Linked DNA regions of Arabidopsis thaliana. The protein of the gene in region 3 interacts with the protein of the main gene of each other region in a biochemical or structural test. Each region holds a gene or a part of one and is shown on either strand. Other genes may lie near its edges.

What was found. The genes of interacting proteins can lie anywhere in the genome.
Region 1: the proteins of CDKB1;1 (region 3) and CKS1 form a complex in vitro, tested with the Arabidopsis thaliana proteins (one study listed by BioGRID).
Region 2: the proteins of CDKB1;1 (region 3) and CYCD1;1 form a complex in vitro, tested with the Arabidopsis thaliana proteins (one study listed by BioGRID).

What each region holds. Positions count from the first base shown.
Region 1 is NC_003071.7:11,910,069-11,913,710, forward strand, and holds CKS1 (cyclin-dependent kinase-subunit 1), read right to left. Parts: upstream 1,735-3,642; 5' UTR 1,476-1,734; coding exon 1,423-1,475; intron 1,348-1,422; coding exon 1,287-1,347; intron 985-1,286; coding exon 835-984; 3' UTR 501-834; downstream 1-500. Other genes in the region: CKS2 (CDK-subunit 2), read right to left, coding at 2,392-2,529, 2,837-2,897, 2,992-3,044. UniProt on the Arabidopsis thaliana protein: Associates with cyclin-dependent kinases (CDKs) and plays an essential role in the regulation of the cell cycle that affects plant growth rate. May inhibit both the G1/S and G2/M phases.
Region 2 is NC_003070.9:26,437,575-26,443,507, forward strand, and holds CYCD1;1 (CYCLIN D1;1), read left to right. Parts: upstream 1-1,981; 5' UTR 1,982-2,078; coding exon of another isoform or gene 2,079-2,222; 5' UTR 2,223-2,440; coding exon 2,441-2,713; intron 2,714-2,865; coding exon 2,866-2,952; intron 2,953-3,478; coding exon 3,479-3,577; intron 3,578-3,672; coding exon 3,673-3,874; intron 3,875-3,963; coding exon 3,964-4,100; intron 4,101-4,184; coding exon 4,185-4,406; 3' UTR 4,407-5,433; downstream 5,434-5,933. Other genes in the region: AT1G70209 (uncharacterized protein), read right to left, coding at 2,079-2,222. UniProt on the Arabidopsis thaliana protein: May activate cell cycle in the root apical meristem (RAM) and promote embryonic root (radicle) protrusion.
Region 3 is NC_003074.8:20,057,548-20,062,067, forward strand, and holds CDKB1;1 (cyclin-dependent kinase B1;1), read left to right. Parts: upstream 1-2,123; 5' UTR 2,124-2,334; coding exon 2,335-2,962; intron 2,963-3,056; coding exon 3,057-3,126; intron 3,127-3,329; coding exon 3,330-3,468; intron 3,469-3,610; coding exon 3,611-3,703; 3' UTR 3,704-3,941; downstream 3,942-4,520. Other genes in the region: FIP37 (FKBP12 interacting protein 37), read left to right, coding at 1-34, 125-202, 323-370, 748-801, 1,076-1,237, 1,383-1,452, 1,536-1,591, 1,694-1,849; AT3G54190 (Transducin/WD40 repeat-like superfamily protein), read right to left, coding at 4,212-4,453. UniProt on the Arabidopsis thaliana protein: May control G2/M (mitosis) phase progression. Plays a role in regulating seedling growth in darkness via regulation of hypocotyl cell elongation and cotyledon cell development. Plays a role in stomatal development. Required to suppress endoreduplication.

The DNA of each region.
Region 1 (3,642 bases), on a different chromosome or scaffold from region 3:
TGACACTTTATTTTTACAAAGTAAATGTTGCTTTATAGTTTATACAGTATATAAAAAAAATATTTATTATGGACGAGTGCTATTTAACACTATGACACACATTTTACACACTTAATACATCTTAAAACAAAACGACACCCCAGTAATTACTGTTTACAATTTTGTCATTGAAACTATTTTCCAAAATATGTTCCAGATTTTGGCTATCTAGCAAACTAACCCCTAATTATAGAAAAGAAAGTTACCAATGTAAAGTTTTAGCCACACAAAAAGGAAAACCATGATAACCACAATAACATCTAATTTGATTTTCGAGTCATGTATCTTTTTACTCAAACCTCCATCCAGATTCAACACCATTATAGTTTGAGGATTTGATTCGATAGCAACTACGTTTGTGTTCTTCATTGAAATGTAAGTTTCATACTTTCGTTATCAACAAAAACAATGGTTATTCTACAAAACTAGAGCGTAAAAGTTATCAACAAAAACTTTCTTTTTCTCTTTCATTTGTGTTCATGGTTGAGTGGAAACATGGGACACATTGTTCTCAACTACTCATGCCTATCCAGTGACCATTTTACCAATATATCTAAAAATCAAACACATAGTTGGATGACACTAAACTACCACCAAATGTCTTGAGAAATAAGTAATTAAGAAGCAGAAGATGACATTAGAACCAAGACTAACATTACATAGAAGTTGTTCAACAAACCAACTCTCACATATTCATCCATAACCACAAAGATTCAAACCATGTTTACAAGAAACATAAACCAATACTCATAGAATTGTTGCATATAACATTCTTACTCAGGTGATGATAATGATTCACTTAACAAGCATGTTCTGAGCTTGATTCTCCTGCTGCTGCTGATAGTTAAGAGGCCTCCTGAATAGCATTATGTGCGGCTCAGGTCGATGAACCGCGTAATGTACCCATCCGCGGCTTTGCTGCACTCCTATCGCTCGCCATTCGTTCTTCGAAATTCCAAACATTTTTACCATCACCACCAATCAATACAACATTGAAGAGATTGCACAACACAAATGTCTAAAATCTCTTTATCACTAAACCTTACAAAATCCCAAAGCAAAGATTCAAAATCGTAACAGTTGCAATTTGGATTCAGAGCAAAGATTCAAATCCTAAACCTAAACGATCTCTTTTTCGATTTTTCCCAAACTTAATTTCTTAAGAGCAACAAATTTTCATAGTCTTCGATGATCTAATCGAAGGATTTAGAATCAGAAATCAGAGAACAATGCGGAAAAAAACTTACTTCGGAGAGAAGACGATTCTTTGGAAGAAGTTTAGCGACTTCAGGAGGAAGAACGACGTGCCTGTATCGATCGATTACGATTAGAGAAGTGAGAGTGAAAATTGGAGGAAGAAGAAGCGAGATTGAAGAGCTTTACCTGTATTCGAAAGTGTCATCGAAGTATTTCTCGGAGTATTGGATCTGACCCATTTCTCTCTCAGAGATGTGAAGCCTTAATCAGGAAATGGAGGAGAAGGGAAAGAGGAATTGAAGAATCTGTAATCTGATCGTTTGAAATTTGGGGAAGATAGTGAAAGGAGAATAAAGTGGTTTGGGGTAGATATGTAATTATGAGGAAATAGAGGGGTGTTTGATTAACTTTTTAGAGTTTTGAAATTCTTTAGAAGACGCCGATTGGGTATGAATGATTATAAACCGGTTAGTTACCAAAATGAATTGAAATTGGGTGGATTGGTTTGGTTCTAATTAAATTCAACAACTTGTTTGGTTGCTTTGACCAAAGACCTTGTTATTTACCATCAAACTACGAACTCGTTCATTTTCTCGAAATTTCATTTAATTCCAACAATCAGTGCTTCACACTAGGTATAAGATACATATCTAGTTAATTTATAAAAATGGCTCTGAATCTCCTGGTTTCAATACACTAATAGTAGTACAGTAAGGAATATATGGTGTTTGGTGAATGTGGTGATTGAGACACAATATGAGTTTCTTTGAATCAGTATCGCCATGAGAATCGTGATTAGACCTTCAGATTGGCATTGTAATGATACCTTGTTTGTTGTTCATAGTTATGGACTTAAGACTCTAAGAGGAGCAATAAAAAGAGGTTGAAATGATGAAACAAGCACATAAGCATGAGAAATAACGTCTTCATTCTTAACCATGAAGAAGTTCAAACGTGGATCCAACCAAAGTCTAGCAAAGGACCAGACTTAACATAACATTAAAAGTTGTTCTACCAAACTCACATGATTCTCCACTGAAGAGAATTCATGAACACAATAAAAAAAACTACAGGAACAAAACATCAGAGTAGTATTTTAAAACCTCGTTTACGAGAGACATAAACAGAGATTAGGGAGAATTTTGCATAATTCTTCTACTTAGCAATCTGAGCTTGGTGCTCCTGCTGGTAGTTAAGAGGCCTCCTAAAGAGCATGATATGTGGCTCAGGACGATGAATCGCGTAATGAACCCATCCACGACTTTGCTGCACTCCGATGGCTCTCCATTCACTCTACAAAACCAGATTGTAAAACAAGAAAACTGTTAACTTCAAAATCAGAAAACTGAGAATTGACTGATAACACAAAAAAATATCTAAACTATCTTCGTCACTGCTGACAATTACACAACCTAAAGTTAATAAACAAGTTAATGAGAAGCAAAACTTCAAATTCCTAAGCAGAAACTTCAATTTCTTCGACTCTCAAAAGTCCAAACTTCAATTTCCTAACTTAATTTCTTAAACATGTAAATCTCTTAGCCTACGATGATTCAAGGGTTATACAGCGAATAGAGGAAAGCCCTAATTTTTAACTTACTTCCGAAAGAATACGATTCTTAGGTAAAAGCTTAGCAACTTCCGGAGGAAGTACAACGTGCCTGAGAGAAAAATAAAAGACCACGCGATTAGACTGAAACTAAAACGTGAGAGAGAACTCCATTAAAATGGGAGGAGAATCAAACTGAGAATCACCTGTATTCGAAAGTATCATCGAAATATTTGTCGGAGTACTGGATCTGACCCATCTTCTTAAATCACCCAACAAACGTCTATTAAATTTACTAAACAAAAGAAATGGAGCAATCTGTCAGTAATCTAAACCCTAAACAACGACGAGAACCTAAACAAATCAGAAATCGAACCCTAATCTAAGAATCGGGAAGTAAAGCAGACCTTGAGAAGAAGTGCGATCGGAAACGAAATGAATTTTAGGGGAGAAGAGGGAAAGCGAAAGGGAATTAAAAAGGCATTGTGGTAAGGAAGTAATTATGGGGATTTATAGGGGCATTTTCTCAACGGGTGTTTTGATTTTTTTGAGTTTCAAATTTCTTAGAGGCGCTCCTTCCCGCTTAGTGGAGCCCTAAAATTTTGATTACGGTTCGACGTTAATCAAACCGGTATAATTCCCGGTTCAGAGATTCATTTCTAAAGGCATCAGTATCTTCCTCTTATAGTCAGAGTTCAGGTGTCCGTATACTCGCCGGCTTTGTATACCTCCTTTGTTCGATATATAAACATCAGTGACAAAAAGAAAAAGATTTCAGAAAATTGAATTTCATTTTTGGGCACTAATATACAAAAAAAAATTAGCTTCGGATAATCATGACTAAACCCCCAAAAGAA
Region 2 (5,933 bases), on a different chromosome or scaffold from region 3:
GTTCTCCTTTAAAAAGAGGATTCTAGAAATGTTTCCTAAAACTAACTCAATGTAGAGAAAAAAAACATATATTGCTGAAAATGACTCGACCCACTTGTTAACTATTCATTATATTTCTAGTAACTCAACATGGACTCATGATCATCATTGTATATAACAAAAAAAAATGCATTATTATGATTACATATGCAAGAGTATATCAATAGGGTCCGAGTTGACTATGCTACAGGAGAACGAAAAAAAACATTTCTTAACGAGTAGTATCAATTAATGTGACGATGATAGTATAAGATCATGTCTAGTGATATCATACGTACCATATAATTAGATCTGAAATAACCATTCAACAACGATCATTGACTATAAGGCAATAGCTCCCATGAATCGTCTTGATTTTCTTTAAGAAAATAAGACATTAACAAAAATGACGAACCCTACCACGAGAATGTAGTCAGTCTGATAAATTGTTGTAGGTTGGGAGGTGCATATTTTCCCTCCTTTCAAATTTCAGTTTCTTGACTTCATTAATGTTAATATAAATAAACATATACTGCATGATAAAAATGTTAATTTAACTGTAAATGTGAATGCAAATCTGAATGTAAGCCATATGTTTTAAATATTGTCTACCTAAACAGAGAAATGAATTAGTAGCCCAACCTAGCCATAACAAATAAATAATGAAGAAGGTCTTCTTCCGCCGAAGATACCAAAAATATATTATCTTCTATTTCAAAAAGTATCCCATTTGTTTCTAATTTCTATGGTACAATGTAGTTGTTGAATTGTAATTTTCTCAATGTTAATTTCGTTATCTACGTAAGCATTGTCAACTATTTACATAGTACATACAAGTGATAGTTATATATTAGCTCTTCCATAATTTTTAATTCTTATCAATATGAAAATATTGACAAATTTATACAAATCTGCATAGAAAACACATACAAAACAAATATGAAACAATGTTAAAAAAAAAAAAAAATATGAAACATTTTTTCTAATACACCTGAAAACTAAAATAAGGGGTAAATATATTAGAGGTAAGCGAAAAATCTACTACAATCTAAACCGAGATCATCCCAATGGTATAATTAAAGTCTAAAATCTAAATCGAAGGAGCAAAGTATTTTGTAAGGCACACGTGAAAGAAAGTAACTACGGGAGTGATTAATAAAAACGGGCCAATGATTTAACACTTTTATGGCATAATTAAACCAAGAAGGGACCAAATAAATATGACATATTGATACAAAAAGGAATGTGAAGAAAATCTCCGGTTCTACGAAAAGGACTTCCACTACTCTTTCCCACACGCTCCAGACCACTGTTTGCTTTCCTCTGATTAACCAATCTCAATTAAACTACTAATTTATAATTCAAGATAATTAGATAACCAATCTTAAAATTTGGAATCTTCTTCCCTCACTTGATATTACAAAAAAAAAACTGATTTATCATACGGTTAATTCAAGAAAACAGCAAAAAAATTGCACTATAATGCAAAACATCAATTAATTACATTCGATTAAAAAATCATCATTGAATCTAAAATGGCCTCAAATCTATTGAGCATTTGTCATGTGCCTAAAATGGTTCAGGAGTTTTACATCTAATCACATAAAAAGCAAACAATAACCAAAAAAATTGCATTTTAGCAAATCAAATACTTATATATATACGTATGATTAAGCGTCATGACTTTAAAACCTCTGTAAAATTTTGATTTATTTTTCGATGCTTTTATTTTTTAACCAATAGTAATAAAGTCCAAATCTTAAATACGAAAAAATGTTTCTTTCTAAGCGACCAACAAAATGGTCCAAATCACAGAAAATGTTCCATAATCCAGGCCCATTAAGCTAATCACCAAGTAATACATTACACGTCACCAATTAATACATTACACGTACGGCCTTCTCTCTTCACGAGTAATATGCAAACAAACGTACATTAGCTGTAATGTACTCACTCATGCAACGTCTTAACCTGCCACGTATTACGTAATTACACCACTCCTTGTTCCTAACCTACGCATTTCACTTTAGCGCATGTTAGTCAAAAAACACAAACATAAACTACAAATAAAAAAACTCAAAACAAAACCCAATGAACGAACGGACCAGCCCCGTCTCGATTGATGGAACAGTGACAACAGTCCCGTTTTCTCGGGCATAACGGAAACGGTAACCGTCTCTCTGTTTCATTTGCAACAACACCATTTTTATAAATAAAAACACATTTAAATAAAAAATTATTAAAACCTCAAAAAATCTCTGTTTCTTGTTTATATATCCAAACAAATGAATGTGTTAAACCTTCACTCTTCTCTCCACACAAAATTCAAAAACCTCACATTTCACTTCTCTCTTCTCGCTTCTTCTAGATCTCACCGGTTTATCTAGCTCCGGTTTGATTCATCTCCGGTTATGGGGAGAGAATGAGGAGTTACCGTTTTAGTGATTATCTACACATGTCTGTTTCATTCTCTAACGATATGGATTTGTTTTGTGGAGAAGACTCCGGTGTGTTTTCCGGTGAGTCAACGGTTGATTTCTCGTCTTCCGAGGTTGATTCATGGCCTGGTGATTCTATCGCTTGTTTTATCGAAGACGAGCGTCACTTCGTTCCTGGACATGATTATCTCTCTAGATTTCAAACTCGATCTCTCGATGCTTCCGCTAGAGAAGATTCCGTCGCATGGATTCTCAAGGCGAGCCTATTCACTTTTTTTCTCTACCTCTCATTTTTTTCAATGCTAAAATACGCCGCCGGAGAGTGTGTAGACGCTAAAATACGCTGATCGAATCGTTACATGCAGAGAATCTTTTTTTTTACAGTAGTGTGGTATTGTTTGGTTTACAGGTACAAGCGTATTATAACTTTCAGCCTTTAACGGCGTACCTCGCCGTTAACTATATGGATCGGTTTCTTTACGCTCGTCGATTACCGGTAAATGTTTTAAAAACGTCAACGTTAGTTAATTCTATTGTCTCTGTTTTTTTATTATATTGATATGACAAATAACAACCCCAAAAAGTCAGTTTTATTTCCCTTTTTTTTTTTCAATGGATCGATTTGTTTATTGACTTTTCTTCAGAAAAAAATGAAAACGACTAAAAATTTATTAGAGCAAAAAATTATAATCGGTATAGAATAATTTAGTAGAAATTAATCTTATATTGGAATGTACGTAAACGATAGAACAGGAGCGGGCTGGGGAACTTTTTTTCGTTTTTTAATTATTTTATTGAAATTTATATTTTCGATAAAAAATTACATTGACGTTTACATAATAATAGTATACTTTTGCAGTAAACTTTCCACTTCATATATCGGCTTTATTGAAAACTTTGTAATCATAGTGTTAAAACGCTCCTACTACTATATAATATTTTAAATTAATTTTGTAATTAAACTTAATAGAGTATATAGTAATCAATGATTATATTAATCAGCTTTAATTTCTGTAAAATAGGAAACGAGTGGTTGGCCAATGCAACTTTTAGCAGTGGCATGCTTGTCTTTAGCTGCAAAGATGGAGGAAATTCTCGTTCCTTCTCTTTTTGATTTTCAGGTAAACATATATTATCATTCTTTCTTTAACATTCTGAATTTACTCTGTTTTTTTAAGAAACTTTAATTTATGTATCTCTGTATAATGTAATGTAGGTTGCAGGAGTGAAGTATTTATTTGAAGCAAAAACTATAAAAAGAATGGAACTTCTTGTTCTAAGTGTGTTAGATTGGAGACTAAGATCGGTTACACCGTTTGATTTCATTAGCTTCTTTGCTTACAAGATCGATCCTTCGGGTACCTTTCTCGGGTTCTTTATCTCCCATGCTACAGAGATTATACTCTCCAACATAAAAGGTACGTAATATTTGTATGATATATGATCCATAATGTCATTTAGGTAGCACATTTTTGGGTTGGTTCTAACACATGACCAATTAGTACAGAAGCGAGCTTTCTTGAGTACTGGCCATCGAGTATAGCTGCAGCCGCGATTCTCTGTGTAGCGAACGAGTTACCTTCTCTATCCTCTGTTGTCAATCCCCACGAGAGCCCTGAGACTTGGTGTGACGGATTGAGCAAAGTAGGATTTGTTATATCACGTTTAGATGGAACAAGGGAGTAACAGATTGCTAATTAATGTCTTTTGGTTATATTTGACTTTCAGGAGAAGATAGTGAGATGCTATAGACTGATGAAAGCGATGGCCATCGAGAATAACCGGTTAAATACACCAAAAGTGATAGCAAAGCTTCGAGTGAGTGTAAGGGCATCATCGACGTTAACAAGGCCAAGTGATGAATCCTCTTTCTCATCCTCTTCTCCTTGTAAAAGGAGAAAATTAAGTGGCTATTCATGGGTAGGTGATGAAACATCTACCTCTAATTAAAATTTGGGGAGTGAAAGTAGAGGACCAAGGAAACAAAACCTAGAAGAAAAAAAACCCTCTTCTGTTTAAGTAGAGTATATTTTTTAACAAGTACATAGTAATAAGGGAGTGATGAAGAAAAGTAAAAGTGTTTATTGGCTGAGTTAAAGTAATTAAGAGTTTTCCAACCAAGGGGAAGGAATAAGAGTTTTGGTTACAATTTCTTTTATGGAAAGGGTAAAAATTGGGTTTTGGGGTTGGTTGGTTGGTTGGGAGAGACGAAGCTCATCATTAATGGCTTTGCAGATTCCCAAGAAAGCAAAATGAGTAAGTGAGTGTAACACACACGTGTTAGAGAAAAGATATGATCATGTGAGTGTGTGTGTGTGAGAGAGAGAGAGAAGAGTATTTGCATTAGAGTCCTCATCACACAGGTACTGATGGATAAGACAGGGGAGCGTTTGCAAAAGATTTGTGAGTGGAGATTTTTCTGAGCTCTTTGTCTTAATGGATCGCAGCAGTTCATGGGACCCTTCCTCAGCTTCATCATCAAACAAAAAAAAAATCAAGTTGCGAAGTATATATAATTTGTTTTTTTGTTTGGATTTTTAAGATTTTTGATTCCTTGTGTGTGACTTCACGTGACGGAGGCGTGTGTCTCACGTGTTTGTTTTCTCTTCAAATCTTTTATTTTGGCGGGAAATTTTGTGTTTTTGATTTCTACGTATTCGTGGACTCCAAATGAGTTTTGTCACGGTGCGTTTTAGTAGCGTTTGCATGCGTGTAAGGTGTCACGTATGTGTATATATATGATTTTTTTTTGGTTTCTTGAAAGGTTGAATTTTATAAATAAAACGTTTCTATTATATGAAGGAAAAAGTACATTGAACTCAATAATGGTCGTGGAGAAGGTTAATAGCTACGTGAGAGGATAATATGAGTAGTGGTGAGATTTGATTTTGGTGTGGCCTGTGGGAGCACGAAGCATGTGAACATGTGTGTTGTGGATCGAGTGTATGTTTTATTGAACGACGAACGTAAAAAGACAAAAGAAAATTGTATTTGTTTAAGACCAAAAGAAAAAAAAAAGTATTTAATGTTCAAAATGTAATAACCTTCCTCATTTTTGCCATAATTAAACACATTTCTTTGTTTTTGTTTTTTTGGGCAAAAGATTAAGGGTTTTATATACCTATTTTAACAACAGTAAATATACAAAAGAAAATCAAATTATGAAAAAAACAAATTACAAAAGAAGTAAAAAATAGTGGTTAATTTCTCTCTTGATTTTAGTAAAGAGGAACAATTAATAGGAGCAGTAGCATACATGTGATGTTGATCTGTCTCCATGTCAGAGAAAGTGGTCTCACCACGAAACCATAACGTAGCTACACCGTTCTATCTCTCTCGAACCCCTCAAACATTAGCCACACAAAAATACCATCTTTGACTATCCATTTATATATGTATGCACACGATTTTACAAGTAAAAAAGGAAATAAGAAGTGAAAGAAAAAGAAAAAAACTTACTGCAAAACAAAACATTTT
Region 3 (4,520 bases):
CCTAAAATCTTCTGAGAAATCTTTGAAAGAACAGGTTTGTACTTGAGTAATAACTTGTGTGTATATATCAATATGAAGGTCTTGATTTTCAAATAAGGTTTGGTTGTTGTTTCTCTCTTTTCAGTTAGAAATCGCAAAGAGAAAAGAAGCGTCATGCATTGTACAATATGCGAAACGGGAACAAGAAATGGCAGAATTGAAGGTAATTCTCGAGAAACTCATTGCCTACCACTTTGATTCCTGACTGATGCTATCACATGTTTTCTTGACCATTACATAGAATAGATGTCGCTAAACACAGTCTTGTATTTTGTATTTCTAGTCAGCTGTTCGCGATTTGAAATCTCAACTCAAGCCAGCGTCAATGCAGGTATATAGTTCTCCCAATGTTTTGATTCTGGAATAATTTATACAATTGTGCCAACAATACAAATCGTGAAAAAAGTTAGCTGTTGAAGTAACTTGGACTTTTCTAGGCATAGTCCGCTTTTTATGCCGTAGTGTACCTTTTATGACGGTCATCCTCGACCTTGATGCATGTAGAGGGAAACCTTTTCCTTGCCTTTTAGATTTCAGTCTGAATACGATGATAAGCGCATGTTTCTTGTAAACCTTTACCTGGCATCTGAATTATTAACAAGTCTGAATAGAAGAAATGGCTATAAATTTTGAATTGCAATGGTCATTTAGCAGCTTGTCATGATCAGATAGCAGTGTAGATTATTTATTCTTTGTTTACCTTTGTAGGCGAGGAGGTTGTTACTGGATCCAGCAATTCATGAAGAATTTTCACGTCTGAAGGTCTGCACCTACTCGTTTCTATTTACCCTTAGACTACTTTTTCATAAGGATGTATTTGTCGTAATATATCCTTAGATAATCCAAACTGTATCTACGGAACAAAATTCCGCTTTCGTTATGAATGGCCTGAAAGAATAATTCCTTAATAACTGATAGCTGACACTGTCGTAGTAGATACAGTTGAGGACGAACATTCCCAACTTTTTGTTAATGTACATTTGTTGCAGTTAAGTAAAGAGTAGATGAAGTTTGATTCCATGTTTCTATTATGCAGAATCTAGTAGAGGAAAAAGACAAGAAGATCAAGGAACTCCAGGACAACATTGCAGCAGTTACTTTTACTCCTCAAAGCAAGAATGGAAAGATGCTTATGGCAAAGTGCAGAACCCTGCAAGAGGAAAATGAGGAGATTGGGCACCAAGCTGCCGAAGGAAAGGTATAGTTTGTTCTACTCTCAGTCTTCAATCTGGAATTATATGAATTATATAGTAAAGCAGTAGTCTTCTTCAACCTTTGTAAAACATGATTCCCTGAAAAGGGTAAAGAAATTGATGCTTGCCTATGTTCATGTGGAATGGCAGATTCATGAACTAGCAATAAAGCTTGCAATGCAGAAGTCTCAAAACGCGGAACTTAGAAGTCAATTTGAAGGTAAGTCATATGTTGATATTAAGTTATAGCAAAGATTTTTGTAGAGTTTGCAATTTGGATTTGAGGATTTTTGTGGAATGCAGGACTGTACAAACACATGGAGGAATTAACTAATGATGTTGAGAGATCAAATGAAACGGTGTTGATCCTTTTCTCTTATCTCTTAATTCCTCAAGATTTTTCTTAAAACGGAAGAATGATTATGGTTTTGTTGGAAATATGTGACTTTGATAAATCTCAGGTGATAATATTGCAAGAGAAACTGGAAGAGAAAGAGAAGGAGATAGAGAGAGTAAAGAAAGGACTGGAAATTGTGTCTGAGCTAGTAGGTGACAAGAAAGATGAAGTTGATGAAATTGATGAAGATGCAAAAGAAGAAATTGCTGGTGGAGAATAGGAATTTGTAGCTTTCAAAAAATGTTTTGTACATTTTGAAGTTCAAAATCACATTTCTTCATTCGTTATCTGTTTCATGAAACAGAAAGTTCTAATCTTCATCTTCTATTAATATGTTTTAATTCGCACCATTGGTGTTTCGATATCGATATGTGGCTTCCCGATATAACTCGTGAAGAATTTGAACTCGTCAACTCACGCAAATCATCTGAGTAGATATCAGATTAGACCAAAATAAGTGAGTCCAATTAGTTTTCCCCAAAAACATTCACAGAGGTCACGACTTTAGGTTAATCTGTTGCAGTTGTCACGAACGAATTCAAAATCCAAAGGAGCGGGAAAAACGAAGTGACGTGGAAGTATCTTAGCGAAAGCATCTCTCTCTCTCTCTCTCACAATCCATCATCTTCATTAATCTGATCAAATAATAGGGTTAATCAAAAGTCCAGAAACCAACACAGTTCAATTTTACGAAACCTCTCAGAAATGGAGAAGTACGAGAAGCTAGAGAAGGTCGGAGAAGGAACATACGGGAAAGTCTACAAAGCGATGGAGAAAGGAACTGGTAAGCTTGTTGCTCTGAAGAAAACTCGTCTCGAGATGGACGAAGAAGGTATTCCACCAACTGCTCTTCGTGAGATCTCGCTTCTCCAGATGTTATCAACATCGATCTATGTTGTTCGATTACTCTGCGTCGAACATGTTCATCAACCATCAACCAAATCTCAATCTACCAAATCCAATCTCTATCTCGTTTTCGAGTATCTCGATACTGATCTTAAGAAATTCATCGATTCGTATAGGAAAGGACCTAATCCTAAGCCTCTTGAGCCTTTTTTGATTCAGAAGTTGATGTTTCAGCTTTGTAAAGGTGTTGCGCATTGTCATAGTCATGGTGTGCTTCACCGTGATCTTAAACCGCAGAATCTTCTTCTGGTGAAAGATAAAGAGCTTCTTAAGATTGCTGATTTGGGTCTTGGTCGTGCTTTTACTGTTCCTCTTAAGTCTTATACGCATGAGATTGTTACTCTTTGGTATAGAGCTCCTGAAGTTCTTCTTGGATCTACTCATTATTCAACTGGTGTTGACATGTGGTCTGTTGGTTGTATCTTTGGTTAGTAGTCTCAATTATGCTTTTATGTTTTTGAATTCGTCTCTCTGCGATGTGATTTTGTATTTATGCTGTTTCAATCTTTGAATTTGTATAGCTGAGATGGTTCGGAGGCAAGCTCTTTTCCCTGGTGATTCTGAGTTTCAGCAATTGCTTCATATCTTCAGGTATTTTGAATTTACCTTCCATTACTTCTTCTGGTTTTGTCCTGTTTCAGTGTGAATTGCATCACTGAATGATATGCTAGCTTACCAATTGAGAACAACTGATTCTATATAGTCCAGGTTTCTTTGACCAATTATTCAATGGATTTAGCATTCTTGAATAGAGACTATGATCTTTACTAATGGTTCCTATTTGGTTCATGGAGGTTGCTAGGAACACCAACTGAGCAGCAATGGCCGGGTGTTTCCACACTGCGTGACTGGCATGTTTACCCTAAGTGGGAGCCGCAAGACTTAACTCTTGCTGTTCCTTCTCTTTCACCTCAAGGAGTTGATCTTCTCACGGTAAATAACTCCCTGATGACCATAGCTTTGTTGCAAAGTTGCTCTAATATTGTTACCTCTTGCTTCTGCTTCCCTCTTTTTTTCCTAAGCTGAATTGCTTGGTTAAATCTTTCTGATTGAGCTTATGTTTGTACAATTGCAGAAAATGCTCAAGTACAATCCAGCCGAAAGAATTTCAGCAAAAACAGCACTTGATCACCCATATTTTGACAGCCTTGACAAGTCTCAGTTCTGAAGTTCATTGCTGTATCTGTTGTCATCGTCTTGGTGAATTTAAACATTTGATCTATCTTTGTTTCCGACACATTAGTGTCTTATGTTTGGTTTAGAGATTTGTAGTCTTTCAGAAGAAACTGGTAAAGCTTGTATTCTCAAGTGAATGTAAAACACAATGGTGTGGTAGCAATGAGATGATTTTCTATCAATCGCTTGTTTTTGTGTAATCATACAAAGTTGATGCTCAACTATCTGAATCAAGTCAATTTTGAAAATTAAAGTGAGACCTTACAGGTGGAATAAAGGGTCTTTCATAGAATTGTCAAAACCCAAATGTTACGTACAATGGTATTAGTGTACACAACTGGCATTCTGACGCGCACACTTGCCCACAAATGGTTTACAACACAGATGGCTGCTCAAAGACACTAAGTTAAAAAGATTTATCGCTACACACAATTGAAGGAAACCAAATGATACATTCGTAGTAGTAGTAGTAGCAGCTAACGATGACGATGTATGTGAAATCAATTGGACCACACATGAACAAGGCCGTGTCTGTTTCCTGTGTATATCTCATTGCGTTCTTCGTCGTAGAAAAGAGCGGTTATGTCTTCCAAAGCTTCAGCTACAGCGTTTCTTCTTTGCTTTGAGTTCTTTCCCATACAATTACTGCTGCTGCTCTCATCATCTTTTGGAGGCCCACTGCTTGGTGTTATTTTAGCTAAGCATTTCCCAGTCAATATATTGCTGATATTGATTGATCCCGCTGGATCATCCCACAAAACACCAATAATCAATATCCATCAATGAGATTTGTTAGGTTATAATATCTG